Linked DNA regions of Struthio camelus. The protein of the gene in region 2 interacts with the protein of the main gene of each other region in a pairwise test. Links are inferred from orthologs where the notes say so. Each region holds a gene or a part of one and is shown on either strand. Other genes may lie near its edges. The genes, in order: RITA1, GOLGA2, PKP4 and CUL5.

What was found.
Region 1: the proteins of GOLGA2 (region 2) and RITA1 interact in binary tests that used the Homo sapiens proteins (3 or more experiments, as listed by UniProt). The two-hybrid records come from large-scale screens. The link is inferred for Struthio camelus from reciprocal best matches to the Homo sapiens genes GOLGA2 and RITA1.
Region 3: the proteins of GOLGA2 (region 2) and PKP4 interact in binary tests that used the Homo sapiens proteins (3 or more experiments, as listed by UniProt). The two-hybrid records come from large-scale screens. The link is inferred for Struthio camelus from reciprocal best matches to the Homo sapiens genes GOLGA2 and PKP4.
Region 4: the proteins of GOLGA2 (region 2) and CUL5 interact in binary tests that used the Homo sapiens proteins (3 or more experiments, as listed by UniProt). The two-hybrid records come from large-scale screens. The link is inferred for Struthio camelus from reciprocal best matches to the Homo sapiens genes GOLGA2 and CUL5.

What each region holds. Positions count from the first base shown.
Region 1 is NC_090958.1:7,134,020-7,141,604, forward strand, and holds the start of RITA1 (RBPJ-interacting and tubulin-associated protein 1), read right to left. Parts: upstream 3,018-7,585; 5' UTR 2,971-3,017; intron 1,940-2,970; 5' UTR 1,891-1,939; coding exon 1,610-1,890; intron 957-1,609; coding exon 413-956; 3' UTR 1-412. Other genes in the region: ATP-dependent RNA helicase DDX54, read left to right, coding at 3,088-3,156, 4,576-4,699, 4,818-4,888, 5,019-5,207, 5,669-5,718, 6,181-6,222, 6,775-6,870, 7,157-7,278 and 1 more. UniProt on the Homo sapiens protein: Tubulin-binding protein that acts as a negative regulator of Notch signaling pathway.
Region 2 is NC_090961.1:7,531,744-7,539,706, reverse strand, and holds the start of GOLGA2 (golgin subfamily A member 2), read left to right. Parts: upstream 1-4,948; 5' UTR 4,949-4,994; coding exon 4,995-5,042; intron 5,043-6,091; coding exon 6,092-6,214; intron 6,215-6,603; coding exon 6,604-6,684; intron 6,685-7,963. Other genes in the region: DNA repair protein SWI5 homolog, read right to left, coding at 982-1,046, 1,504-1,598, 2,533-2,654, 3,468-3,516, 3,634-3,923. UniProt on the Homo sapiens protein: Peripheral membrane component of the cis-Golgi stack that acts as a membrane skeleton that maintains the structure of the Golgi apparatus, and as a vesicle thether that facilitates vesicle fusion to the Golgi membrane.
Region 3 is NC_090947.1:46,343,100-46,350,095, forward strand, and holds the start of PKP4 (plakophilin-4), read left to right. Parts: upstream 1-3,982; 5' UTR 3,983-3,997; coding exon 3,998-4,004; intron 4,005-6,996. UniProt on the Homo sapiens protein: Plays a role as a regulator of Rho activity during cytokinesis. May play a role in junctional plaques.
Region 4 is NC_090942.1:205,700,964-205,707,971, forward strand, and holds the start of CUL5 (cullin-5), read right to left. Parts: upstream 3,009-7,008; 5' UTR 2,909-3,008; coding exon 2,885-2,908; intron 1-2,884. UniProt on the Homo sapiens protein: Core component of multiple cullin-5-RING E3 ubiquitin-protein ligase complexes (ECS complexes, also named CRL5 complexes), which mediate the ubiquitination and subsequent proteasomal degradation of target proteins.

The DNA.
Region 1 (7,585 bases), on a different chromosome or scaffold from region 2:
CTTACTCTGGGCTACACTGTAGGTGTACCTGTGTCCGGTCCTGTCTCCTGGCTGGGCCCTGCACCTATGCTGTCGGTAGTCCTGTCTCCTGGCTGTCCTGACTGGACGTCCTGGACGGAAGCAACCTGACTCATTACCTCACCTCATCTGATGATCCCTGGACAGGCAATGAAAGCTGTTATTACTGCCACGGCTGTCCTGCTTGGGTGCCATGGGACTGTACCCCGCTCAGGGAGGTCACTCACTGCCGCGTTGATGCTGTGGTCACTCTCAGCTCCTGGCTCGTCCTCCCTCGTGGAGCAGTCCCCTTCTCGCTGCTCCCTGACAGCTCCTTCCCTTGTTTGCTCAATGGGTGTCAGACCCCTGTCGTGGGTAGGTTAGGGGTGCATTTACATACAAAGGGACGTTCATTTTACTTCCAGGGAGGCCTGGGTTTGCAGATACCCACTGCCTTGGAGTTCCTGGCAAAACAAGGTGCAGACACGCTCTTAGACCGAACCCTCATCAGAGGACCTCGGGGTGTTGCAGGGGCTGTTGAGGGGCACTGATTTTTATGCTTTTCTGTCTTGGGGTTGCCTGAAGCCAGTCGGAGGCTATCCGGAGAGGCGTTCAGCCGAGTGAGAGACTGAGAACGTCCTCTGTTGGGAGCACTCCGGCCTTCAGAGTCCGAATTGCTCTCAGGCCGTTTCCAGATGTAAGACTCGCCCTTATGATCTGTGCCAAGGTTTGCTAGCGCTGGCGATGCTGAGGCTCGTGGGTGGACAGCCCTCAAGGGCGTCTCCTTGGAGCGGGAGGAAAGGCTTGACTGGTTTCGGGGGGCGGATGACGGGCTCCAGAGCAGTGGACGAAGTTTGGCTACATCTTCTCTCTTCATCCAAGAAGCTGCCCAGGACGGATCCTCAGGCTTGGTGCCAAACAGGGACTCATCGCAATAGGATGGAGTGTGACTTTTCAACCTTTGCAGGGAAAAAAGCAGAGAAAAGCATGTTCATATTAAGGTGGGAAAAGACAGCAGCAGAGGCCTAACTGCCACGTGGAATCCAAAGGGGGCAAATCTTTGCTCCTTGCTCTGGATCAGCTGCTGAGGCTAAACCCCACTCCAGCCCCTCCCAAGGGCCGCTTAGGGCCAGCTGGGCTGTAAACAGGCTCCTGATCATTTGGACTGGAGAAAAGCGGACAGATAGGGTTTGCTGTATTGCTTTTCCTGAGCTGCTGGTTACAGAAAGGGGCACCAGGTTTACTAGCCCAGCGGGCTCTCTGGGACTGCATCTCAGCAACACGAGTCTACTGATGCCTAAAACACTTCAGAAAATCCCCTCCTCTGGGGAAAACTCCTCTATATAGGAGGAAACATCAGGGAAAAAGGGAAAATCTGGGATGCCTGGGCATCAGAGGCTCTCCGGACAGCTTGCAGAGGGGAAAACTGCAGCAGTACTCGACATACACGGAGATAGCGAGTCAGGGTACACAGCCGGACCATCTCCTGCCCCGCGTTCCCGGGAGCCGCTCTGAAGGCCGGCGCAGGGACGCGGACGGGCTCCCTCACCCCCGCCAGTCCCAGCCGTAGGTGCCGCAGGGTTTCCAGCGGGAGAGGAAAGAGGCCACTCACCTGTACTTGTTCCTTTTCCTGGGGGTGCCCTGCGGCGTGCAGGCGGCGGGTGCGGCGGCCTCCGCTTTCCACCTGGCCCCGGCCGCGGGCGGGCTCCACACCAAGGGCCTGGCGGGGCCGGCCTCGTCCGCCCAGGGAGGCGCGAAGTCCGGCGGCGCCGGCCGAGCCCTGCCGGGGCTGCCGAACAGCGTCTCGTCCACGAAGGACGGCCGGGCCTTCCCCCTGCAGCGGCTCCGGGGCTGCAGCCGAGGAGCCGGGCTGCTGGCGACGGCCGCGTTCATGGCCGGCGGGGCGGCGTCCGGCTGAGGGCATCGGCGAGCGGTCACGCGACTGCAGGCCATCGGGGCAAGACAGCGGATTAGAGGGATGAGGGAAAGGAGATCCCCGGGGGCTGCCGAGAAGGGCCTCGCTGGCGGGGGGGCATCGGGGCCCTGCCCGCGCCGGCCCGGCCCTCGGCCCCGGCTGCCCCTGCCACCAGCTCGCTGCAGCCCTGCCCCGCATCAGCCCTGCCCCCACTCGCCCCCGTCACTGCCCCCCGCTCCCCAAAATGCCACCTCACATCCCCCAAATCCCCCCTGCCCCCCAAACTGCCACCCCACATCCCCCCAAATCTCCCCTGCCCCCCAAACTGCCACCCCACATCCCCCAAATCCCCCTGATCACCTCATATTGTCACCCCACATCTCCCAAATCCCCTATCCCCCCCAAAACTGCCACCCCACATCCCCCAAATCCCCCTGATCACCTCATATTGTCACCCCACATCTCCCAAATCCCCTATTCCCCCCAAACTGCCAGCCCACATCCCCCAAATCCCCCTGATCACCTCATATTGTCGCCCCACATCCCCCAAATCCCCTATTCCCCCCAAACTGCCACCCCACATCCCCCAAATCCCCCGATCACCTCATATTGTCACCCTACATCCCCCCAAATCTCCCCTGCCCCCCCAAAACTGTCACCCCACATCCCCCAAATCCCCCTGATCACCTCATATTGTCGCCCCACATCCCCCCAAATCTCCCCTGCCCCCCAAACTGCCACCCCACATCCCCACATCCCCCCACCATCTCAAAGTGCCACATCACATCCCCCCAAACCCCCTGCCCATCCCAAACTGCCACCCTACATGCCCCAAATCCCCCTGCCCACCCCAAACTGTCCCCCCACATCCCCCCAAATCTCCCTTGCCCCCTAAACTGCCCCCATAGCCCCCTCCAACCCTCTGCCCACCCCACATCCCCCAAATCCCCCTGCCCCCCCAAACTGCCCCCCGCATCCCCCCACCCCCTGGCCCCCCACACTCCCCCCCCACATCCCCCTCAATCCCTCTGCCCCTCCCCGGACCCCCCCGCCCCCACCTGGCCCGGGCGCGGGGCCGCGCGAGCCCCGCCCCTTCCGCCCCGCCCCCGCCGCCCACGTGCTGCCGCCGGGGCGGGGCCTCGCCGCGTGCTTCCGCCGCCGCCGCCGCCGTCGACATGGCGCCGCCGCGCGCCCGCCGCCAGCGGGAGCGGCCCGGCCCCGGGGAGCAGCGCCGGGCGCCGCCGGTAGGGGGACGGGGGGGGTCGGTGCGCCTGGTCCCAGGGGGCCTGCGGTCCCCGGTGCCCCGTCTGCCCGGGGTCCCGTGTGCTCAGTGACCCCAGTCCCCCATGTCCCCAGGGTCCCCAGGGTCCCCCATCTCCCCAGTCCCCCCTGTGTCCAGTGACCCCAGTGCCCCATGTCCCCACTCCCCCATGTGCCCAGTCCCCCGTGTCCTCGGTGACCCCAGTCCCCCATCTCTCCAGTCTCCCGTGTGTCCAGTGACCTCAGTGCCCCATGTCCCCACTCCCCCATGTCCCCAATCCCCCATGTGCCACGTGTGCCCAGTGCCCCATGTCCCCACTCCCCCATGTCCCCAATCCCCCATGTGCCCCGTGTGCCCAGTGCCCCATGTCCCCACTCCCCCATGTGCCCCGTGCCCCATGTCCCCACTCCCCCATGTCCCCAATCCCCCATGTGCCCCATGTCCCCAATCCCCCATGTCCCCAATCCCCCATGTGCCACGTGTGCCCCGTGCCCCATGTCCCCACTCCCCCATGTCCCCAATCCCCCATGTGCCCCGTGTGCCCAGTGCCCCATGTCCCCACTCCCCCATGTGCCCCGTGCCCCATGTCCCCACTCCCCCATGTCCCCAATCCCCCATGTGCCCCATGTCCCCAATCCCCCATGTCCCCAATCCCCCATGTGCCACGTGTGCCCAGTGCCCCATGTCCCCAATCCCCCATGTGCCCCGTGCCCCATGTCCCCAATCCCCCATGTCCCCAGTCCCCCGTGTCCTCGGTGACCCCAGTCCCCCATATCCCCAGTTCCCTCTGTGCCCAGTGACCCCAGCCCCCCATGTCCCCAGCCCCCCGTGTCCCCAGTCCCCCGTGTCCCCAGTCCCCCATGTCCTCAGTGACCCCAGTCCCCCATGTCCCCAGTCCCCCGTGTCCCCGGTGACCCCACTCCCCCATGTCCCCACTCCCCCATGTCCTCGGTGTCCCCAGTCCCCCATGTCCCCAGTCCCCCATGTCCCCAGCCCCCCGTGTCCCCGGTGACCCCAATCCCCCATGTCCCCAGTCCACCGTGTCCCCAATCCCTCATATGCCCTGTGTGCCCAGTCCCCTGTGTGCCCCATGTCCCCGGTGACCCCAATCCCCCATGTCCCTAGTCTCCCGTGTGCCCAGTGTCCCCAATCCCCTGTGTGCCCAGTGACCCCACTCCCCCATGTCACCAGTCCCCCATGTGCCCAGTGACCCCAGTTGCCCATATCCCCAGTCCCCTATGTCCTCGGTGACCCCGTGTCCCCGGGGTCCCTGGTGCCCAGTATACCTGCTGTCCCCAGTGCCAGCATCCCCAGCGCCAGCGTCCCCAGAGCTGCTGTCCCCCCATGCTGTTGGGGCGCCTGGCCGCCCGCGCCCCTCCCCACGGTGCCGTTCCCTCCGCAGGCCCCCGGGTGCGCGCTGCCGGCCTTCCCCGCTGCCGAGGAGGCCACTGCTGAGCTGGACACCCAGGCCATGGTACGGGCCCAGAACAAGAAGAAGAAGAAATCCGGAGGCTTCCAGTCCATGGGTACGTGTTGGGGGCTGGGGGTGGGGGACCCTTGGAAACGGGGCCGTGCCGAGTCTGCTCCACGGGGCCCTGTCCTGCTTGTGTTGCTCCGTCACCTGCTAACCCCTGTCTTCTCCAGGCCTGAGCTACCCTGTCTTCAAGGGGATCATGAAGAAGGGCTACAAGGTGCCCACACCCATCCAGAGGAAGGTGAGCCCCCTCGGGGCACGGGGCACTGGACCGAGGGCCTCCGGGGCGATGGGTGCTGCCCACGTGGGGTGCCCGCTCCAGGCGGCGGTGCTGGGTGGTGAGGGCAGCGCCGCTGGGCTGTGTCTTGCAGACCATCCCGGTGATCCTCAACGGCAAGGACGTGGTGGCGATGGCACGGACGGGCAGCGGGAAGACGGCCTGTTTCCTCATCCCCATGTTTGAGAAGCTGAAGGCCCACAGTGCCCAGACGGGGGCCCGAGCCCTTGTCCTCTCGCCCACCCGCGAGCTGGCCCTGCAGACCATGAAGTTCACCAAGGAGGTACCGGGACGGAGGTGGTGCTGGCTGAGCTGGGATGGAGGGATGGAGGGCAGGGGAGGCAAGAGCTCGAGCGGTACCATTAACCTGTGGGGCTCCATGCTGCAGCAGATGATGTTGAATTATCACCAAAGGGTGAAGGACATCTTTATCTCTTAGTGCTGCTGATGATGATCAAGCGCTGTCCTTTGCCGGGGGGATCTGTGCAGTGCCGGGATATGACTTGTGGCTGCCGTGCATGGCCAACCCCTTTCTTAGAGGTTCAAGCTAATCCACGAAGGGAGGAGGGAAGAGCAGGCAGAAGGAAAACACGTTGCGTTGGTGCCCTCATCACCTGCCTGCTCTGCTGCGTCCCCAGCCTTGGCAGCAGGGCTGTTTGCTGGCATTGGAAGGGAACAGCCTAGGGATTTGTTTTGAGGCCGAATCTGCTTGTAATTCTCCCGTGTTTCTCCCTTACCCTGCAGTTGGGCAAGTTCACAGGCTTGAAGACAGCCCTTGTCCTGGGAGGAGACAAGTAAGTCATCCCCAGTGCCCCTACCAGTGTTTCTGCCCTTCCCCTAAAGCCCAGGCAGCCCTCCCGAGGCTTTCTGCAGGCACTTGGCCTGTCCCAGCTTCCCTAAAATGTGCTGAGGGCTGCAAAAATCTGCCAGATGTTGGGACTGGGCATCACAGTGGCATCTGGAGCAGGGTTCCTGGGCTAGATGGTCTGAAGTTTCAGCTGGCCATCAAAAGAGCTACTCACTTGCTCACGCGTGAGATCTCAGGGCTGAGGAGCTCTCCTGTGCAGTGGGTCCCTCTCCGCAGCCTCGAGCATGCAAAGTGTGGCCTGGAAGGATCTGGCCTTCGCCCCATGCCCTGGGCTGGCCCCCAGCTCTGCAGTCCCCAGTGGCTTGCCCGGGGAGGCCTTGCGAAGGCAGGCGGGCTGAGCTGCCCCTCTGCCGCCTGGCCCCGTCTCAGGCTCTCTCCCCTCTCGCAGGATGGAGGACCAGTTTGCTGCGCTGCACGAGAACCCCGACATGTGAGTCTCTGGGGTATCTGGAAGGGTCTGCGCTTCCCTGCTGATGTGGCGAGGAAACGTGTGCTGACAAACGCTGGACGCGCACCGTGTTGGGGTGATCCTGGGACCAGCTGCTGGACCTGGAAAGGGTGCTGCCTCCCTGGGACCCCCATGATGTCCCTTGGGTTACCCACTACCCTGCTGCTGATGGCCTGGTGTGGCCCCAGCGGTCCTGACTCGAGCCCTGCGAGCTAGCTGGCCCTGCTCCTGGTGCCATCCAAACACAGGCTGAATTCTGCCCTTCTGGCTGTGCCACCCGGGGATTGGCATCATGAAGGAGGTCACTAGAGATGTCTCTGGCGTTTACAATCACATCCCATGGCCATGTCCTAGGCTTTCTTCAGAGTGTCTTCCTGTGTTCCTTGCATGGAACCAGGGAGTTTCTGTCTGGTTGTCTTTGAGCCAGACTTGTGCTCTGGCACCTGGGAGGGAGGTGTCCCATCCTGCTTCCCCACGCTCGTCTCATGGCTGAGGTACGGACCGGCCGAGCATTGCGGTCTCTGTTCCTTGCAGAATCATCGCCACCCCGGGGCGCCTGATGCACGTGGCGGTGGAAATGAATCTGAAGCTGCAGAGTGTGGAGTACGTGGTGTTCGACGAGGCCGACAGGTCAGCGAGGGCCAGTGCCGGGGCAGAGCGGGGCCTGCTGGGCACTGCCTTTCCAGTAACGTGCTCGCTGGGATGAAAGTGGCTGGACTGTGGACTCGGGGGAGCTGTGTGCCCCATGTTTGGAGTGAGCAACGAGCCCTTGCAGGGGGTGGGAGACGCGGAGGGCAGGAGGTGTGCGGAAGGAATGAGGTGCCTTGGCTGGGTGGTGCTGGCAGGTGCCAGGAGGCAGGGCTGGGCATGGCAGGAGATGCCAGCGCTCTGATGTCCCGCGTTCCCTGTCCTGCAGGCTGTTCGAGATGGGCTTTGCAGAGCAGCTCCAGGAGATCATCGCTCGGCTCCCTGAGAGCCATCAGACGGTCCTCTTCTCGGCCACACTGCCTAAGCTGCTCGTGGAGTTTGCTCGAGCTGGTGAGGACCATGGGGAGGACAGTGACTGGAGGGGCTGGGGGCAGCCAGGTTAAAATTAGCTGTTAGAATCAGTGGCCCTACCCAGCTGGCAGTTCCCCACTGGGAGGTTGGGGACAGGGACGTGACGCACATGAGTCCATCCACAGATTGAGGACTGGGGAACCCGAGTTGGGTCGAAGCTGGGCCAGGTGGGTATCCCCAAGCCAAGGGATAGGGCTGGTCCCAGCAGCACATCGCAGTGTGTGACCACGTGCCATGTGTGACCCATGTCCTACAGGGCTCACGGAGCCGATGCTGATCCGCCTGG
Region 2 (7,963 bases):
GCACAAAGTAGCCAAATTTAGGTTGTACAGTCACCCTCATTCCTAACACCTGACACGGAAACATTAATGCTCTCAACAATTTTGTGACTAGGACACCGCTCGCTTTCACAGTGACTCTGCACTTAGAAATAAGCAAAAGTAATTCTCCACCTACCCGTGACTGATATCAGTGCTGCTACGTTGTCTCCATTAAGAGTCCTCAGAAAAGCATCTGAATAATAGATGTTACAGTTGTCTCAGAATATAGTTTTAAGGATTTGTTCCCAGGTTTTTTTATAGGCTCTTAAAGGGAATTGCTGAGAAACGTGATAGCTGCTTTATTCAGACTAGACAATTTAATACAACTTCACATTTTGCTATTTACTACAGAAGTGATGCAAAATCTCTAGATACTAGATCAGAGAGGTACAAAAATGCAGAGAACCCAAACTTCCCAAATTTGGTCATAAAAACAAAACAAAAAAAACCACAGACAAACAAAACTCCCCCACACACTTCCAACCTTCTTCCCTCCCTACTTTTGAGGGGTTTTCTTTTCAAGCAGCTATTACATTGTATATTCTTCTACCCTCATTTCCTCTATCCATTCATTAAAAGCTGCTTCCACCTGCAGATTAGCATATCCAAATAGTCTCATGATGCTCTAGAGAAGTAAAAGCTCAATGGGAAGAGACTCAGCATCAACCTTGAATTATAACCCTTCCTATGGAAAAAAAAACAAAAAAAGTGTTGATCAGGAAGTAGACGAATTGAAATTATACAAAATCCCACATCCCCAACGTCCGTTTTCCACAAACAGGAAACGGGTGATAACTTTCATGTTCCAAAGCTTCTTAGAAAAAAGGCTGTTAACATATGCTCTCTTGAAAGGCTACACACTTCCAAGGCCACCTTTTATCATTTTTAAATAGGTATGACACCAAAACCCAACGGCCCAGTAATAGGCATCTTTGCAGGACACTGTAGTCTTCAGGTTCAATACTAGTCGCTAAGCTCCAGATCATATTCAGGGTATAGCTGCTTTGTGGTAACCCCTCGAATAACAGCTAGAAAAGAAACACACACCATTACTTTCATTAAACGAACAGTAGGTTAGCCACAAGAGTTGCATTTTGCTTTCACTAACCCCCTAACTATCCTAGAACCTCCCATAGCTAAGAAAACAATCAAAAATTCTGTAGCTATGCCTCCTGCTTGCCCCATTTTTTTAAACGTGAAGAAATGGTAAAAGAAAGTAATAAGATTAATCAAATTTTGATAACCCGTAACACATAATAAAACACCTGCAAGTGTCAATTATTTCATATGCTGCTCAGGATATGTCCAGTTCCCAAAAGATTCCAAAGAAATAATGACAGAATCATTTGTGCTTGCACAAGTGATTTTAGTAAGAAGCCTAGAATTGCAGAATCTTTAAAATAAGCTACGCCTTCACAGCGTAGCAGCTTCTCTTTCTATCTAGATGAAAAAATTTACTAAGAAGCTGTTCATCTCCTTCCTTACCCAGCTTGCCTAACAGCATCTGTCCAGCATCTTTAATATCATTATACTCATGGAGCAGGGAGATGTGTTTCTCCAGTTCTTCCAGACTGTAGCCTCTGTAACAATAAATCCAGGAAGGTTAAAAAAAAAAAAAAAAAAAAAAAATCACGACACAGTGTGACAGCATGACTGCTGCTGCTACATAGTGAGCAAATTAAAGGTCTGTTTACCCTTGAGGCTTAAAAGAAACAGCAGCTTTTGGAATTGAATTCATTGTTCTATGATTTCCCAATCCATTTTAGGCACTATACACATTATTTTAGAAGATACCACTCACTACGTATAACCCACAGAGGTTCCCCCGCTTAAACAAACACACAACACAACCCCCCCCCCCCAAAAAAAAAAACCACACACAGCAATTTTTTCTCAAACCAGTCTGAAAAATCCCAAAATAGTTTGAGAAAACCCTGGTGATCCCAAAATGTGTCATAAGGAATCACACTAAAACAGCTGCACTATCCTGTATGCGGCACCCATTAAGCCAAAATGTTCTGCAGGGCATTTGCTTGTCAGGAAAACACCCCTGCTTCTTGAACACAAAGGTCAATACTTCCAACAGCTCACCTCAGACACAGAACAAGTGAGCACCACATCCACATGGAACAAGGGAAACAGTTTAATCTGAACAGGTCAAAAGTCATGATCTCCATTTTCAATTCCATATGAGCAAGCAATTTTGGTAACACATCCTGATGGTTCAAATTAGTCATTCCCAGTTTACAGTAACATCTGAGGTTAAGTCAAAAGTCTTCTCGTCTCAGCTGTAATATCGCTTTCTTTGCTTTACCAAATAAACAGGAAAGAATTCCCTGTTGTCTTTAACTGGTCCCATAATTCAAACAATATTGTAATGAGCATTACATAACAATATGATAAAACAACCAATGTAACAGGTCAGCTTTTAGTTCTAACTCCTGGGCCACGTTTAGTTTTAAAAGTAAAAATACTGAGGCCTCACACTGAACATTGAGCTTGCCAAGGACATACTCAGACAAAAATTGTGCAATTTCCTGGTCTAGAGCGAGGTCTTTCTGTTTCAGCTCTTCAATTTCATACTGCAGGGCTTCTTCACTGGCTCCATTAGGTTGGCAGGACCTTGGAGATGGGATCTGCAGAGCACAGAACACATTTAACATTCCACTCACTCAGCATGGGATAAGATACTATTGTGCCAGAAGGAACTGATCAGAAGATACATTAAGCATCACTGGGCAAACAAAAGGGAAAAAAAAGGGAGGGGGCTAGACTCAAGTAAAGTATTTCTCAATATATTTAATGTCAGCCGGCTCTATTTTATAATAAATCTTATTCTACAGCATTTTGTACTTTTACAGTGCTAAGGGAAAGATTACAATCTGGCTTTTCAAACAAGTTCCCAGGATGATGCAGTGTTGCATACTGACACAACTCCAGGCTGCCAGTTACTCAAGAGATGCCGTTGAGCAGTTTAGATGTCGTTTACCCTGATAAAGCACTAAGGCAACAGGCAATTTCACTCTCCAGGAAAAAGAGCCATTGCTACGCCAGTGTGAATCATCACAAACACTGGGACCAACTGCTGTTTCAGCTGAGACTTCAGTGACTACAACAGGCCACGGGAACTGAACTGTCACCGCAGAAGTCATCTCTCTGAGGCAGACATGAAGCCGTACGGACAGAACGGGCAGGAAGGTTGCTCTGCTGCCCCTGGAGCTGAGGGAGGGCACTGCACGCTGCCGAGTTTCTTCAGACGGGGAGAAGAGCCCGCGTAAGGAAAAGCAGCTCCCGGCAACCCGCGCCTTACCCCGCTCTCCGAGAGAGGAAAGGCGCCGGCAGGAGGCGGCAGGCCCCAGCGGGGACGTCACCGCCGAGGGGGGACCACCACCGCCGAGGGGGGGCCGCCGGGCGGCCGCGCCTCCCCCCGCAACAGCACGGGGACTCACCGGCGACTTGAAACCGGCTGTGCCGCTCCGCCGGGCGCCACCGGGGGTCCTGGGCAAAGCAGAGGGAGGCGCCGCGTCAGCGGCCGGGCAACCGGGCCGGGCCGGAGCCCCGGGGGAGAGGGAGAGGGGACCCGAGAGGCGGGCAGGGCCAGGAACCAGCTCCTACCTCTTCGGGACAGGCCGGAGCGGCGGGCAGCTCCCGCTGCGCCCCGAGCCCGGCGGGGACCCCCCCGGCGGCGGCGGCGGCTGCTCCGCCAGGGCCACCGCCTCACGCCAGCACCGCGCGGACCCCGCCGCCGCGGGGCGCGCCGGGAGCCGTAGTCGCGCCGCCGCGGGGCGCGCCGGGAGCTGTAGTCCCGCGGGGGTGGGACCCGGTCCCCGAGGCTGCGGACGGGCGCTGAGGAATGCATCTTCCCGTCTGAAACTACAGGTGAAATCGGCGGCGGGGCAGAACATAACCAGGCAAATAAGCCCAGCCGGGAGCTCTTCCGTTGGCACCGAGTGTTTCTGAAAACGCCTTCGAGCCTTCCAGGTGCCACAGCCTTGTTTCCGCGCCGCCAGCGGCAGGTTTCCCCGAGGCCGGGTGCCGGCGGTCCCTCGGGGACCTGCCTCCAGCCCCTACTTTCCTAGGCAGAAAGCCGCCGCCGCCGGTGCCACCAGCGGCAGCGCGCGTCGTGCCCGGCTGGGCCCCGCGAGGAGGGACGCGCTGGCTGGGAGGCCACCACCGCTCCAAGGTGCGCTTCGAGACCTCCCGCCTGCCAACCCGCCGCTGGATATTCCCCCCGCACCCCGAGCAGGCCGAGGTCAGGTAGGACGCCAACAGCAGCAGCGGGAAGCAGGATCAAACTCAGAAGAGTCAGATATAAACCGTCAGGCTTGGCAACCTGGGCCGCGTCCAGCCGCCCCACCTGCGCGTCCGTCCCTAGCCATCATCTGCTTCACCTCCTCCGAGAAGGCAGAGAAAATAAATCGCCTCCTCCGAGAAGCCGGGGAGAATGAGACAATTCCTGTCTTGCTCCTTGGTTGGGTGCAGAGTTTCCTTCCCTGCTGGCCAAAGGCAGACGTCCCTGTGCAGCGCCAAGCGCTGGCAACGGGCCTTTTACGTTCCCTGGCCGAGCGCGCAGGCCAAATCCCGCTGTTGCCGACTCGGAAGGTCAAAGGATGCGGGAACGGGACTACAAACCAGCAAAACACAACCCCCTTTACTGGCCAAACACAACCCCCTTTACTGGCCGTAACTGCGGTGGGGGGGGGGGGGGATCAGGCACCGAAGCGATGCAGGCAGGGCAGCCGGCTCTGTAGGACAGGGCCTAGAGAGGGGGAGGGACGCTTGCCCCGCTGAGACCGGCCCTTCTCCGGCGGCCCGACTGCCGCAGGCGGCCCGTTGGGCGGCTCGGGGCCGGGGCCGCCCTGCGGCGGGGGCCGGGCCGGGCGCGATGGCGGCGGCGGCGGGGCCGGGGCGGAGCCTGGCGGCCGCCTGCGCCGCTCGCCCTGCGCCGGCTGACGTGGCCCGGGCCCGGCTCGGACATGGCGGACGGCAGCAGGCAGAGCAAGCTGGCCGCGGCCAAGAAGAAGGTGCGGGGCCGGCGTGGAGGGAGGGAGGCGGCGCGGGGAGCGGAGCGGGGCGGCGGGGCGCCGGCCGGGCTCGTCTGCGCGCTGCCCCGCGCTGCCCGTTCGCGGCGGCCGCGGAGGGGGCTGAGGCCCGGCCCGGCCCGGCCCGGCTCGGCTCGGCCCCCGGGTGCGGCGGGGCCGGCGGCAGCGGGGCGCGCTGCCATTTTGAGCCCCGCGGCGCGGCGGGTCTGGCCTGGCCTGGCCCGGCCCCGGGCCTCGGGCCCCGCGGCCGCTGCCTGCCGCCCTGGGGAGAAGCGGGTGGTTTGCGTGAGTGCTGGGGGCTCGCTCCCGCCGGGGGTTTCGCTGTCTGAAAGACACCGGCACTGAAAGACTGAGGGAAAGGCTTAGAAAGGTGCAGTTTAGGGCTCACCTGTCTAGCTTTTCCTAGGGAAAATGGAAACTGTTTTAAATCCGGCCGCGGAGAGCACAGTCAAGCCCGTTTTTATAAACGGAGCCGTTGGTTTGCTCCATGATGTCGTTTGTCCCCCCAGTTCGGAGCTGCAGCGTCTGTGTCGGCGTGTTGTCTGTCGGGGAGGCCTGTCCTTTTCCTTCTCAAACTCTTTGGCAGAAGGGCAGAGCTTGCTCTCAGGCGCTGCTTTTTCACTTACTATTCAGGATTAATTGCCTTTTATTAATTTCACCTTATTGCTCTTGGTTATAACCCTAAAAGTCATCAAAGTTATTTATTTCCTTTCAGTTGCAGTAAAGGATGGCACGTTCTTTCCTTCCCATAGCCAAATTTCATTGGTTGCATAGCAAAGCTGCGCGTTTGCAACCCTGAGTCTCTGGCCCCAAACCCATCGCACCAGCTCTCAATTTAGCCTTCTCGACTTGTTCTAACTTTTTTCAGAGAAACTCTTCAAAGACAGTTGCTCATGTCTCTATGCCTGATCTCCCTTTTTACCCCGTGATCTTTTTATTCTTTTCATTATTTGTTGACCTTGTAGCTGTAGAAGGCACGTTCCATTTGTGGACTTCAGATTCTTCTTTTTTTCCCCCCTCCCCCCCCCCAGCTGAAGGAATATCAGCAGAAGAATAGCCCTGGAGCAACTGCGGGAGCCAAGAAAAAAAGAAAAACTAAAGAAGGAAGTAGACCTGAGACTCCCACAAATGATGACCAACAGTCTCCAGAGAACGTAAGTATTCCATTCTTTCTCCCAAATCATTAGCCACCTTGTTGTTCTTTGGTTTCCCATACGACCTGACTACAGGAGGAGGAGGAGGGTTTTGCCGGTGTAACATATGAATGGCTGAGATGCTGGTATTACCAGTTTATGAAGTGAGCTACAATGGTTAGCGACTAAAATCCCTTGAAGGCGCACGCTAGCGTCAGGGTTTATGGCGAAGCAGTGTTTGATCGTACAGGGGTACAGTGCAACCCTGGGTATGTCCAGAGCTGTTGTTTTGAGGCGTATCCTCCTAACGAGCTGGAGGGTGCCAGCTTCTGTGGCTACCTTTGATTGGTATTTTCTCTCTGTCCTTTTCTGAGCCATTTCTCTTTCCACTTTTCTTTCGCCTCCTTTAGATTCAGAACATTCTGAAGGTGCTGGTGTCAGACCTTAACCGCTCCAATGGGGTAGCCATACCCTCATTGGACAAGAGGAAGGTGAGGCAGTGCTCCGCGTCCCTCTCGGTGACTTGCTGTCCCTACTGCATGCTTCCAGTTCTGTTCAAACCGACTCTGATTTTCGGGTGGAGTCTCGTTCTGACGCATCTGCTGTCAGTTGCTTGAGTTTTGTTGCTGTTTTCATTAACATGGAGCTATTTCTTAACATGCCTTTCCGTTGTTTGTGAGAGTGTGTTTCCTTCTGGTTTGTGTCAAACTTAACAAGTGAAGAAGTGAACCTTGTCAAGAACTTTTTCTTGGGACAGTCAAGCTTTGGGGAATATCAGGAATTTGGTGTGAGGCAATGAACAATGATGAGTGACTGCCTTTACTATATGATGAGTTTCCAAGAAGTTGTAGCAAAGGGGCGTAAAAACCTGTCTGGCACTAGGAAAAGGTAGTGTTCTCTCAGTCTCTATTTCTGCTGTTTTGGGTATCACTGCTTTCTTTCCCAGTGCCTTGTTTCTGAGGGGCATGTTTCTGCTCATCTCTAGTCAAGGAGCTGCCATGAGTAAGCTATGTAGTTATTCCAGCCAAGCCATTTTATGACGGGTGATGAAACTTGCACAGGTGATGCACACTCTGGCAAGTACTATGATTTTAAATATGTTTAGGCAGGAGGTCAGATATTTCAAGTCAAGCATTTATGGCCTTCAGGGTCTTCTTGTTCCCTGGCTCCTGGAGATGAAAGGGAAGGAAATACTTCAGTGAGCAATAAAAATGTGTTCAGGAGCGAACTTACATCAGCCTTTTATTTGTAGGTAATCAGTTTACTGGAAGCTAGAATTGTGATAGGAAAGTCAAAGTTTGTAGCCCAGAATTTTCTTCCAATTTTGTTACACTAAAGCTCTGCTTCCCAGTGTCACTTGGTTGCACCATCATTTTGACTGCATACCTTTCCACCCTCATTTTCAAGTCTAGTTGTCACAAAATAAACCATTTATTATATTTACTGCTTATCCACTTCTCTCCAGCAATAAATTGAGCTATCGTAATCACCAGGAGCGTTAGGTGGATGCAGGTGAGGATGGCTGTTCTGGGGCTGCTGCTGAGATGGCACTTGGTCTTGAAATGAAGGCCTGACTGTGTCTACGGTTTGTTCTGTTCGGAAAATGGAGAACTTACTACTTCTGTTCATCCTTGTTTTCCAAATTTTTTTTTTCCCTCAGCTTTCTCAGCTTGGAGAAATATGTGAAATATGTTTTGATCTGATTGGCTATTACAAACGTTCTTTTATCTTGGAATTTGTGGATTATTGTGTATGTAGTGTTAAGAGTAA
Region 3 (6,996 bases), on a different chromosome or scaffold from region 2:
GATTTAAGTGTGCCAGTGTTGATTGCCAGACATATCTAAATCATAACTGTGACCATTTAATTGTTCTATTATCTGTAGTTATCAAAAAGCCTGAAAAAATAGTTTCCTTGAACTTGGAAGGGGGCAAAGCATCCCAGTATCGTATTTAGAAGAAGAAAGTATTAATAATCATAAATATTGTTTGATATTTGGTAAGAAGATAACAGTAACTTTTAAGTACCATCTTTTATTAGTATTTTGACTTTCCTGCAGTGATTTAATATTTCAGCTGTTCTCACTTTTTTTCCTTAGTCTTTGTTACAACCAAGCACAGGCAGGTCCAACAGACATTTTTGCAGAGCTTTGGTTGCTCTCCTCTACCTTTTCAATTGATCCAGCTTTGAAATGTCCAGCCCAAAGCTGGATATACTTCTTCAGCTAAGGAGATTGGGAAGATTGTGCATTTCTTGTAGAGGGAAATGTAAAATAAGCAGGAGTGGTAAATGAGGTCTCTTTCTTTGTCACAGAAAAGCATACTTTTGCAACTTCATGTTGCTTTCCACAGAGGTGCTGCCTTGCTGGTTGTCTTCTGTATTGCATTTGTTCCTTTGTGGTAGCATTTGTAGCCCGGATGAGCTTGGATATAGGCAAGGCAGGATTTGTACCTTGAGCTAACAGGAAATCAGTGAGCATTGCTGGGATGAACAGACAAGCTTTTGGGCATGTAAACTCTTTTTAAGGCCTAAAATAGGAGTAGCAATTTTCAAAGTTCAGTATGAGTTAGGACCAGTTGCTTATGAGCTTGGCATCTATTTTTAGATCTTTTCTCCTATTGTTCATGACCTCTGAATTCTGAACCTATCACTAAAGGTATCCATAATCCCCCAACCCCCAGCTGTCCTCTACAAAATGTTAATTGCCTTGCCTCTCGTCTGTGCTATCACTGGTAACTATGGCTGGAGAACGCTAAGCTCATGGCAGAACCCCTCCCGATGCCTCCTTTCAATGCAAGTGAACTACTGCTTTGAGTACAGCTTTCTAACAGTTATTCCTTTCTCCCCCTCCCTTTTCCCCCCTGGGATTTCTCACCTGTACTGTGTAGGTAACTTTTTAAGGCAGGACACAGCAGGAGATTGGTAGTGTCTAGTTTGGGACCACTTCAGTGATACAGCTTACCCCACATCCCTCAAACATTGCACTGGCAAAACGGGGGGAGCAAATTGCAGTCCAGAGGTCCAGAGAGAACTCGTTAGCTGTCGTTTAAGCATTTGTTCTTATCTATAAATATAATAATTTGGAGATTGTTTGTATAATGCGTTTTTTTCAACATACTACATGACAAAATTGAGGTGCATTTTTATAAATGCATATAAAGTAGGTTTGGTTTTATAATGCTACCAGTTAAAAAAATATCTGCATCTACAGGTAGTGTGTATTGTATCTAGCAATAACGGATAGAGTAGTGCCGCAGTAACAATTTTAAAGGACTGAGAGTAAATATAAGTAGAGATTGAAAAGCTCCTGCAGTCATTGTTCTGCTTGGTAGTATTTTTATCTTTGCTTACAGTTATTCTCAATCAAACTCCGTTTGCTTGTTTATAAGAGTTTTCAGATGGGAGTATCAGTTTGGAGCTTGTATTACGAGTATCTGGTAAAAGCATACATTCTGCTTAGCATACATTCACTACAGTTACTCAGCTGTTACAGTTTTTAAATTATTTTGTCATGTGATATTCATTGTGAATGTCATCATACCCTGAGTTAACTGAGAATACTCTAACACCAAACTAAGGATTAATACTTCTAAAGGATAAATAATAGATATGAATGTCTTTGTCACTTGATCGTCTGGAAAATTAAAGTCTTTGTGATGCTTGCTATACTTTTCTCTCCCTCTCAGTCCGTACTGTGATAAGACCAAACATTTATTGCTATAAATGTGCTTACTAGTCTACAGATTTGTTTTTGAACACTGTGCTCCAATGAGGCTTTTTTTTTTAATGGCAGTGAATTAAAATATGTAGTCAGAAGAGAGAAACACAGATTTGGAATGGTACAAAGGAAAAGATTCATATTTGGGGGCTGTCAGTTATGTATCCTTTATGGCACTTGAGGCTTGTGGTACTTCATGCGTTTGTGAAGCATGAATGCTCTCCAGACACCCTTCAGATGACAAAGATCCTTCTTTTTTAAGGCGAGCTACAAACAGTGCCTCAGGCCTTGGAGGTTATGATCATAAGTATGCGCTTATTCAAAGTGGCCTTCTTGCTATACCTGTCTGATCTCTTCTTTTGAATGGTTAGTTTGAAAGCTATAAAATTACTAATCCTGTGAGCATGTTACAACTGGATTTTTGTGGATGTAGAATCTTGCCTGCTCACTAGAGTGGAGTAAAAGTATGTTGCCATAGGCCAAAAAAAACGCCTGCCGCCTCTTATGAGCTGTAACAAAAAATAGAAATAAATTTACCCAAAGACTAGGGTAATTGTTTTTAACATTTTAAAAAGCATATAGCACCAGAAGCCTTTTGAACTTCAATGTGCTATTATATATACATACCCACATGTATATACACATATATATTAAAAAAAAATTAAAAGGAAAAGGAATGAGGAGGAGACTAGTAAGAGAGTTAAATGCATCTCCCATATTTCTCAAGCAGTGCATCTGTTACATTTAGATCATTTTTTTGGTGCTGAGGAACTCAGCTTGCGCCACTGTGCAGTCGTTTTTTATGCTGTCGTTATGGAAGTCCATTCCTTCCCTGTTTTCATCAAATAATTCAGTCCAGGAACATGTTCTTTGTTTTACACTCATCTTACAATAACACTTGATTCCCAGCAGCTTGTATACCACAGTAAATTTCCAGAAAGCACTATATGGTATGGTATGTATAAAACTTCTGCACTAATGATCTCCATAAAGAAAAGTTGTATTTTAATGGAATGGTTAGCCTATAGTGTGATATTTGTAGTACCTTGGCCCTTACTACATCAGGAAATTTTAAAACTATTTTTCATGTAAATGTTTGAATCATCTTTCACATAATCCATTTCTAAATGCTTGTGTTTTCTTTGCAAGTGAATAAATTGTCATCTGCTGTCTTTTCATCTAAACAAATAACAATTGGCTGATAAATGTAATATGGAATTTATTTTAGTTCAATTATGCAGTTGCACCAAGCTTGAGAATATGAATCACTGTCTAGTTTGTAGGCAAGCAACACTGGATGCAACTCTCATAGCAGGTTGGAGCTAATAGGAGCTACTCATAACTAGAAGTGTACTGACATGTCTGTGAACTAACTCATAAAGTCAGATAAATTTTAATTAGGTTTTCATCTAAAAACTGCACAAATGTAGTAAGTCTTGTTTTGTTTTCAACTTTTACATATGCTGTGAAGGATGAAAACAGAAGAATCTTTGACCAAGCACTGAAACGTGCCTTGTTGCTTAAGCATATGAATTTAAATGAACAACTTAATTGTATAATAAATAACACATCAATGTCCCTGCAAAAGTTAGGTTTAGTTTATTGGAGCTTTCTTCTGCTGTACTAATGAGTACAGCTCTGCTTTTCAGTGATTTGCTTTTGTTGCTTGAGTTAATCTTGTGGCTAGATAAATACGAGGATTTTTAGTGATGAGACATTGCTCATTGTTTTTCTCATGTTTCTCTTATTCAGTATATACAGTCTATCCTATCCTGGTTGACAGTGTTCATAAGAGTTATATTACCTCTTTAGCTGCAACTAATTGGGGGCTTCTGCTACCTGAGAAAACTGCTTCAGGTCAGCCCTGTGAGACTCCAAAACAGGGAACTCAGGGAAGGAGAAAATTTGGTGAACCGTCTCTGTAAGTGGAGCAAGAGGAATATGAAAGAATGCAAGCTGTGGACCATTCTTGCTGTCTGGAAGACAGCAAGAAAGGTCTGAGTTCTCCTGCCCACACCACAAGGAGAGAAATTACTAAACTCTGGGGAGACTGTTGAATATCACTGAGAGTGTAACAGGAGCAGCAATGAAAGGTGAGGAATAGAAACTAGCAAGAACAAGGAGAATTAAAGCATTATTTCTTACACCCAGTTTAGTGATTTGTCTTATTTTTCCCTTACTCCTCCATTGTATGTTCTCATTCCTTCCTTCCATCAGTGATTGTATGGATGCAAGATGCTTTGGTTCAGAAAATTATCCTCCTCCTTCCCTCTCCCAAAACAACCAACCAACCAGCCAACCAAAAGAACAAAAAAAAAGTGAGCATAGTGTCAAATGAGTTCACTGAACTTTTTGCTTTGCAGCTGTTTGACCTTTTGATCAGACACAAGAGGTTATCACCCATTTTTGCAGCCTACAACTTCACTGTGGGCTTAGAGGACCCATGGCAGTGTCAGAACTGGCAAACTAGGCGGTGGTGGCTCTGCCCCACCATCTCTGCTAGGGTTGGCAAAAACCACGCTGCTTTGCTGCAGAATGGGAGATCTGGGAGTTTTTACTCCCCAAGTGGAGGAGGGCTAGGAGTTGCTGCTGTGGTAGTGGAGGCAATAGGTATCCTCTGAACAGTGTAAGTGCTGTGTAAACCAGGTTTATTTCAGCAAACGTACGCAGTTGCCAAAAGAGGTGGTCTCTGCCATAAACTGGTTGGTTTGAAAACTAACTCTCTTTTGTGGCTTGGTGTGCTCTGATCCAACTTACTGTGATTTCATGAAACCATTTGAGTGAGTCTCAGTAGTAGAGAGGAGTAGAAAGCCACTTTTTTCGAATTAGTATGGAGTATTTCAGACTACAGACTTCAAATTGAAAGGCCTTACTTTCCTTTTCCTGCACACTTGCATCTAGCTTGAAAATGTAAATGCAGGCCAATATAGAGCTAGATTGTCACTGCTTCTGTTCTTTTATCTTCTAGTTTTAAATAGAGAATTTCAAAATTCAGAATTGGTGCTAAGAATTTTCTCAGATATATACTATAATATGAAGTGTTTAACAATTTTCTGGAAAATGATTTAAACACTTTACAAATATATTGATTATTTTGATTCAAGACTGATATCTACAGAAAATACTGGCAAATATTTACTGTTCTCCTCAAGTCTGCTGATAATCTCTCCTCAAAGTTTAAAAGCATCTCAGGTTATGCTTTTGAGCTATACTTAAAAAAAACAAACAAACAAAAAAACCCTACATCATTCACAGATCTGCAACATCCACCAAAAGACCTACCTCGATACAGTTAAATCCTTCCGTTCCTGTTCATTCTTTGCTATAGTGGAGAACTTAAAATCTGTAAACTCTTCTCTCAAATCCTGTCATTTTAAGAACCAGTTATGAGTCAGGTATGCTGAAATGGGTTTTACAAAGCAGTAGAACAGTAAAATATGTTTCTTGAAATCTCTCTGGCCATAATGAGAACTTGGTATTTCTAATGAGCAGACACGATCTGAGAATTAACGGAGCTGGAATACAGGAATGCATGCATCCCTGTATGTTGTGTATAGTTTTTCAGAGATTATCTTGCATAAACTTGGATTTTGTACAATGAAAAGAATGACTTCTTTCCATCCGAATTTCCTTTTATACTGGATGTTTTTGTGCTTATTTTGAAGCCATTGCAATGAAGACTCTTTAGTGGATCAATCTTGAAGCCAAATGCATTTCCTGTTATCCCACTATCTGAAATAAGATTATTATGGACAAATATTCTGTGGGCTGCATTAACACAGAGTTATTACTTTCTGTTGTATTTAAGTAAAGTTGAACAAAGTCATACAAACACTGCAATGTGAATGAAGTCGTATAGAAGCAATGCAGTCTATTTCCCATCCTATTTCTAGCTATGGAATTGGGAAAAAGATAAGTAAATTGTGCTGGAACTAACTAAATTCCATTACTCTTCCTTCCCCGCTTTGTTTTAATTCTGCATAATATATTAATGTTCCTTGTTTGGCCTTTTTGTTTTACGAGTCTTGCTCATTATCACTGATCTTCGTTCATCCTCTGGGTAGCAATGCTGTCAGGTTGTTCAGTTATACAGGCCTTCATTTTATATATTAAAAAAAAAAAACCCAAAAAACAAAAAAGACTGTAGGATGACTGTAAGGAGGATGTTATAAGAACAAATTTAATTCTTACTCGAGCCTGTTTAGGAAAACGTGTATCTGCCTATTAAGGCATGAATAGCTGAGTTCATATGGGGTCTATCCAGTAATTCTAAACACCCGTCTTAAATTCTGTTTCTTCAGACAGGCAGAAATCTAAGTTAAAGTAGACCTTTTTCTGACCAGCAAGAAATAAAAATTCGAATTTGTTTAGGGTTTTTGATGCTATTTATTTATTTATTTATTTGATCAGGCATGGGCACTGGAAGAACAAAATATTTGCCAATTGAAATACGATAATGAAATGTTTCAGCTCTAGTACTTCTAGAGAAAATGAATTTCATTGCTGAAGTCAAGTGTGACAACTTCAGTAAAATGAAGAGGGAGGATGTCAGCTGTACTTCAGAATAAAGATACACGTCTTTGAGTGTTACTCAAATATGAAGAGTGACAAAGCAAAAAATCAAAGATTCTTGGAAGATGAGCAGAATTGCTATCTCACCCAGAAATGTTTTGTTTCCTGCCAGTGTTTAAAATTAGGCGGCACTGCCTTGAGAGTGTCAGTGGTGTTATAGACTCTGCGCAGTCAAAGGGGAATATATAGGCGTTATAAATAACTTACTTGGGTGAAAGAAGGCTATAACAATTACAAGGCAGTTGATTCTCCTGGAATTCAAGACAGAATTATTTCTGTTAGGTAAGTATCTCCGTGTCAAGTGAAAAGAGTGTAGCCTACTTTAACTATTAATGAACACTTAAATCCGTGCAGGGCCTGTGTAATACTGAAAGGGAACAGAAGGAGGTTTCGAAGTTTAGGTCTGCGAATGCACAAGCTAGAATGAAGTCCGGTGTGTCAGGAAGTGTTTCACTGCCTGCTGGGCTGTTAATTTGGGCTCTCTTGAACGTTTCCAGTAGACTGCTACTGTGT
Region 4 (7,008 bases), on a different chromosome or scaffold from region 2:
TCAGACATGCTTCCAGTTGTCAGTGACAAAGGCATGAAATCAAGAAAAATAGTTAAAACAAAGGGAAAGGTAAACTGTGGTTCTCATTTCACTCAAGCCTACAGAAAATCTGCTGCTTGTTTTGTTTCTTCCCTCCTAATACCAGGCTCAATCTCCAGTCCTGTGACTGCAAGGGCCAACTCTTGAATTTGCCAGCACCTCCAGTAAGGCTGCAGAGAAATGCCAGGATGTGCTAGCATACATACAGCTACAAGTTTTCTTCATGCTGCAGTAAACTGAGCTGTTCTGCGCCTCAGGAACCGCAGGAAAACACGTGCATCTTCACGTCACATGAGTGAATTGGTTTAGACTATTTTGTCACTGCAAAATGAACAGGTTACAAGTCCAACACATCCCCTGAAACAAAGTACTCCACTTTAAAAGAGCCAGGACCACAAGTATGTTGAAAGAAAAAGTACTAAGGAACGAATCTAGCAAAGACTCAGCCACAGAGCTGTAGCCACAGCCTACAGAAAAGTCACAGCCTTAACATGGGACAGTAGTCCTGCTATAGGTAGAGTATAAACTAGCTTGCCCATTTAATGGCTAGCTCTTCCTAAGTAGTTTAATATTTTGATCACACTGAAATTTGTTGCATCTCATCAAGAGTCAACATATGATTAGTCATACTAATTTTGCATTTAAAGAAGGAAGTCTAAGAATATGCTTCTCCCTAAAAATCAAGCACATTTTACACTTAAGAAAAACCATGCACTAGTGGAGTTTAAATGATGCCCTCTAAAACAAGGGCAGCCAGTCAGATTTCACTTCAGCCAGTACCCATTACTAGAATAGGAAAGGAATATTCCACTTCATTTTCTCAACTATGTAGAAGGTCGAGAGAGGATGGGGGAAACCCAGAGAAAACTCTTAGTTCCTGTTTATCCTAGCAAAAAATAGAACCTGCCTCAACCTGGCTTACATTAGCATACAGGCTAATTTGGAAAAATACAGACCTCCCTCAAGATTTTAACATCTCTCCTTTCTTACCCCACGGATTTTTACCGACTAGGGGATATTGCTCCCCCCTAGTGCGAGGCACTGGCAACAGCACTGACATTCAATCAATCAACGGTTTGCTTCTCCGGGAGCACACTGAGTGTCAGAACTGTGGAACAAAAACCCTCATCCAGTTCCAACTCTCTCACTGGTTTATTTTGTCATTATAAACAAAGTGAAATCACTGTCTAATTGCTCTCTTTTGTAATGTAGAACTCATACTTTATTATCTTTAGGAAACTTACTAAGTTAGCTCCCAAGTCACCAGAAAGGCCTACTCTAAGTATCTCCCTGTAGCATTTTCCCTGAAACATACTTTTTGTCAACATAAAATATTAATGATTCAAAGGCCAGTGGTGAAGCTGTCACTAGCAAACAAAAGGGCTTCAAGTCATTAGGAACCATCTCACAGAGTCAAGAACTTTGACTGTATTTTCACTTGCTGCACACCTAGTAGTTTTCAGAAGAGGTGAAGCAGAATGCTGATAAATCTCACAGGCCTTCTAGCTGCTGAGGGCTACACAACCACGTTCTCATCAACGCGCCTCTCAGCCTTCCTAGAAACCCTTACACATACTGCAAAGCAATGGACTAAATATCAAGTAGATAAACTGTTTGAACCCTACTCTAAAGCAATACTCTTCCACAAAAAAACCCCAACATTTTGTTCCAGAAACTCTTGTGGGGCATTATGCTTTTTGCCAGAATGTGTGGATTCTTCCAAGTTAGACTTTGATTAACACCTTACATAGTTTAAAAAGCTAACTGCTTATTTTCACAGGAAGAAAAAGAATTAAGAGAAATGAAAAAGAACTAATTTCCGTTACATTTCAATTTCAAGAAAAACTTTTTTTTTTTTAAAGCTCTGTCTTTATGACAGAAAACCTCTCTCTTTGGACACGAGGAAGAAACAAGGCTATCAATTATTTCTCATTTCTGCAAACTGAGTGTCTTAGAGTAATATAACCCACAGTTTCAGGACAAATCCACACACCTGAAATAGGTCAGCTTGCTGAAATGTAAGAAGCACTTTTCCAGAACCATACCTGAATACAACACACGACGCTGAACACAGATATTTATTTTACATATATTTTAACTGCTAGCCGATAAAGTTAAACAAAGCTAGCAATCTTTCACAAGCCTTTCACCACAACTACACTGAGGATCTAGAAACACTTACTGGAGGCATTAGTAACAGCTGCTTTAAGTAGGCCCGTTTTCCACGTGCTGGCACAGCCTCAAAGGCCACATACAGCCTGATCTATACGCACGCCACCAAAATTTGGACAGACAGTCCTGGACGCAAATACTGGGCTGTCACAGCAAAAACTCCCCCTAAAATTTGCAACAGGTTAGGATGATTGACATCTGTCCTCAAACATGGGCAAAGCGCCTGGAAACCCCTCGCTATGCGAGTAAAGCTGCTCGACGCAACTGAAAGGCCTGGGAGAGTTTTTCTCTGCAGAAAAATTGCCGTTAACAAAAGAGGGCCCCCCCAAGTCACAACACCTGCTCCCCGCAGCGGCGTTTTTCAACCCCTGGCTCAACTTAAAATTCGTTTTCTGCACATCCAGGGTTGCAGAAAAATCTAAACAAGAGAGCCAGCACCGCGCCCGGCCTAACAGCACGGCGCAACGTTGTTTCGCAGCGGCGCAGGTTTGGGAAGGGCGGGCGGCCCGCTAGCAGCCCAGAGGCCGCGGGGTGGCCGAGGCGAGCGGCCCGCGCCCGGCCCCGCCGCCCCCCGCTCGCCCCAGCCCCGGCGGCCCGCAGGCCCCGCGGGGCCGCCCCGGGCGCCCGGCCCCCGCCTGCCCCTCCGGCAGCGGCCGGCGCGGCCCGCCCTCACCTTCAGGAGATTAGACGTCGCCATGTTCCCCCCGCGGGGCCCCGCGGCCGCCGCCGCCTCCGGCTCCTCTCCCCACGCTCGGCTCGGCTCCCCCGGGCCGCTGCCGCTTTACATGGCGCCGGGCCGCCCGCCCGCCCGGCCGGACCCGCGGCAGCGGCGCCGCCCGCAGCGCTGCGCTGCGCTGCGCTCCCCGCCCGCCCTCCCGCGGCGAGGCCGGCGCGAGGCTGGGCGCGCTCCGCCGCGCGGCCGGCTCGCTCCCCCGCGCGCAGCCGCCCCTCAGAGCCTCATGGCGGCGTCCGCCCAGCAGACGCTCAGCGGCGGCGACCCCGGCTCCATGGAAGGGGCTGGCCCACATGATGCGCGGCGCCGAGGAGCCGGCCCGCCGCCAAGCGCGGACACCCGGGCCGGCGAGCTCCGGCGACGGCGCCCCCTAGCGTCCCGCCGCGGGGAGGCCGCCCGGCGCGGCCCGGCCCAGGCAGCCCGGCCTTGCCCCACCCCCCGTCCTTCGTGGGGGAACGGGGACCCCCCCGCCCGTCCTTCCTGGGGGAACGGGGACCCCCCCCCTCTCTATGAGGCGGGGTCCCGTCCCTACGTGTAAGCCCCCCTCTAAGCCTGCGCTCCTTTGACCGCCCTGAGTGAAAACGCGAGTTTTCTGTCTAGTAAGAAGTGTTTGGTTTTAGGCACGTTTTGGGCGGGAGATGGGGAAACGTTTTCAGTGAGAGGAAACTGAATTGTACCTTTTTATTAAAACATTTTGCTTTGGTCCGAAGTGTGTCTCCAAGAAAAAAAAAAAAAAAAAAGTCCAGCGAGCTTCTCTTACAGGTTAGGAAACCTGAGCATTAACGTCATCCATTCCGCTTTAATCTGGCCCCTTCTTGGGCACGCTGCGTGCTCGTCTCCGCTAACGACCACGCCGTTTTCCATGGCGCTTCCAATCCGTTCTTTGCGCGGATTTAGAGCGGGCAAGGAATGAGTCATCGCCCTGCGAGAAGGAGGTTTTGTCTGTTCTCCACCTGGTTTGCTAAAGAAGTTGGAAGGGGCGCAGGGGACAAGAGAGGTGGCAAGAGACAGACTTGTCCTGAGATGAAGTCAGCTGGATGCCGCTCCGGGGACCTGGTCTGTCTGGGACTCTGTCAAAGCAAGCCCATCGAAAGCGTTTTTTTCTCAGCCACCAGGAAGAACACGGATCACGGCTGTCCGTCTGGAGGGCCAGTGGTGTGCCTGACAAAACACTAAGTACTCACCACAGCCACTGGGGTTATTGAGAAGAAGGTGCTGAACAAAAGGTGTTTCGGGTATGGCCGGAGACTTCAAGCCCTAAGCCTCTCTCGGAGCTTTTAACAGCTTTGATCTCCTAATGAGTCAACACCTCGTTTGCAAATGGTGACAATAGTGCTCTCTCAGTCTTGTCTGGGGCATAAGATGAAGAGAAGAGAAACTGAGGATTTGAAGAGAAATTCATGTTGTAAAACACAGACATCCTAAACTGTTAGCTCAGTAGAAAAGCTGTCAGACAAAATTCAGAAATTCTGTGCTCCACAGAAGGTTTGATAACGTCGACTAAACAGGGCCTGCAGCCTTATTAATTTAACATGTTTTAAGGCTTAGTAAGGTGTTCTCTTAACTAAGAAGTGTTGAGGAGGTATTGAACAGTTACCCGTTTTTACAAACCTTCCAGGTTTTGAATGCTTCAATTGGACTTTAAAATTTTCCTTTGTTGTTGCATATACATTGCATAGTCTATACTATGTATATATATCATGACCAATTATACAGTATTCACTGTGTATGTAATGCATACAGTTGCACAGTTGTATATATAGTATAGAACTACACAATATAGATTGCATGGTATTATATACCATACTTTCTGTATCTATTTCATAATATGGAGGATTTAAGTCCTTATAGATCAAATTAGAGAAAAGAGAAATGAGTTTTCAAGTCTTCTTCCTGCTAATCGAAGGCTGATGATTTATAGAAGACAATATAACTAGTGATTCAATGTCCTCAGGTTGTAGCTGTGAAGATTTAGTGTTTAAATACAGTGTAAAATAAGCACATAAAGCAATTTTAAAAGTGTACAACCTCTGCTTATGTCCAAATTGGCCCATTTTTTCTAAAGCCTCTAATTTAAAAACAGAAAACGATAGCGACTGATATACATTTACCTTTCCAACATAGCTTTTATTATTCAGTACTCACACAGTGAAACACATGCAAATACATGTAAAAACATTATTTCTCCCACATTGTTAATTTGAGGGGGGAGGTGAGAGAAGAGTTTCTATTCCATCACCACCGTATTTTTAGATGATGTCACATGACTGTCTCAGCTTTGACCTGATGCTTGAGAAGAATGACCATTGCTTCATCCTTTCCAAACGCTCACAATTACTCAGCAAACAGCTTGGATCTCCACGGCTAGCTCTGAGCCTTTAAGTGAAGAACTGACTGTTCCTGGTTGCTGATGAAAACAGAAATCTGTAACATGTATCCACAGAGGAAGAGGTAGTAGGATCAACATACAAACATCTATTCCTATTCTACTCTATTTAATACTCCCACTCTACAAAAAAAAGTGTATTTTCTCTAAAAATTCAGCTCAAATCAGATTAAAAAAGAAGAATCTTCTACATATGAAAGTGGTCTCTTTTTAACAAGCAAAGAAACCTAGGTGAGGATAATATCTAATAACTACGCATAGGTGCCACTGAGCTTATAGCCCATAGGGTTGACAAATGTTCCCTGAAAGCTGGCCTGAACATCTTCCTCAGAAAGGTTTTCACCCAGACAAAGCTGATGCAGCAGATGGTGTGAGACCAAGCTCATAATGAACAAATCTCAGTCCTGCATTAATCAGCGCCTACTTCCCTCATTTTCCTAGTGGATTCAGCTCTTGGGTCACGACTGAGTAACATCATGTTGGATGAAGCCCAAACTGAAGTCAATATCATCTGGAATTCTCTATAATGGGGGCCAGCGTCAGACAGTTGCAGGAAGATGTCATACCTTGTCATTCAGAGATTTGGGACCTACTTAGGTCTCTCTTTGGTCTCTAACATTTATTGCTTAAACCCTGGACGCAAGATACACTATCCTTTACCAAGTAAAATATCAATACATTTGCTAAGAATTCTTTAATCCACCTTTTAATCCATCTCACTGAGGGATCTCTTTGCCGTTTTTGTGCACACCTACCACAGAAATGTAGCGGTACACAGGACACCCCAGGATCTGAGCGCCCACCATGGTCTTGTCTAGTCTAAGTATTCCCAGAAATCCTGTAAGCATTGCTGTAACAGTTACGCGGTTGGCCGGAAACAATCAGCAAGGAAAGTCCTGAGGACAAGCGTTTGTGCCTCCTATTTAAATACGCTCTGATGCCAAAGCTGTGAGTAGTGACAGCGGAGGAATAAAGAGGATTTGAACAGCTGAGAAGCCATGAAACTAGGAAACGGTCGTACATTTTACTGATATTAAAAATAACGTCCATTTCATTTTGCATGGCTTACATAGTAACTGTAAGATTCTTCTAAAAATCTGTACGTTATTTTTCCTGGAAAGTAAAGACATCTTTGAGCCTCAAGGTTTTGTGGTATTTTAGCACCACTTCAGGGCACACGGAAAGTACAAAGAGTTACATAATTTCGTCTAATTTGCTTTAATTCTATTGCAAATGGATTATTATTGAATTCTGACACTAATGAAAATATTAATTAATTAGTATACGGTACTACATTGGACTACAGTTTTATAAGTTTGGCATGGATCATAAAAGACAGAGTGAAAAACACTTAATCCCAGAGTTATTCCTGGATTCACAGTGATTTGCACATGCCATCTCATTAAGCTCTAGACGATCAGTGAAATGAATATTGTGCATATACAAATATATATCCTAGGCATCTTGGAGTGAATTGATTCCAGGGGCAAATATGTTGACTTTGAATGAGTTGCATCAGATATAAATATGCACTGTTACGTTCTCATCTAACACCCCAAGGCACACATATAATGAATAAGATGTGTATAGTTTCTTGTGATTTTTACTTAGTCCGTGATGGAAAAAGACATTTGATGGGTGATTAGTCAATCTTGGACACCTCTCCGATCAAGCTAGA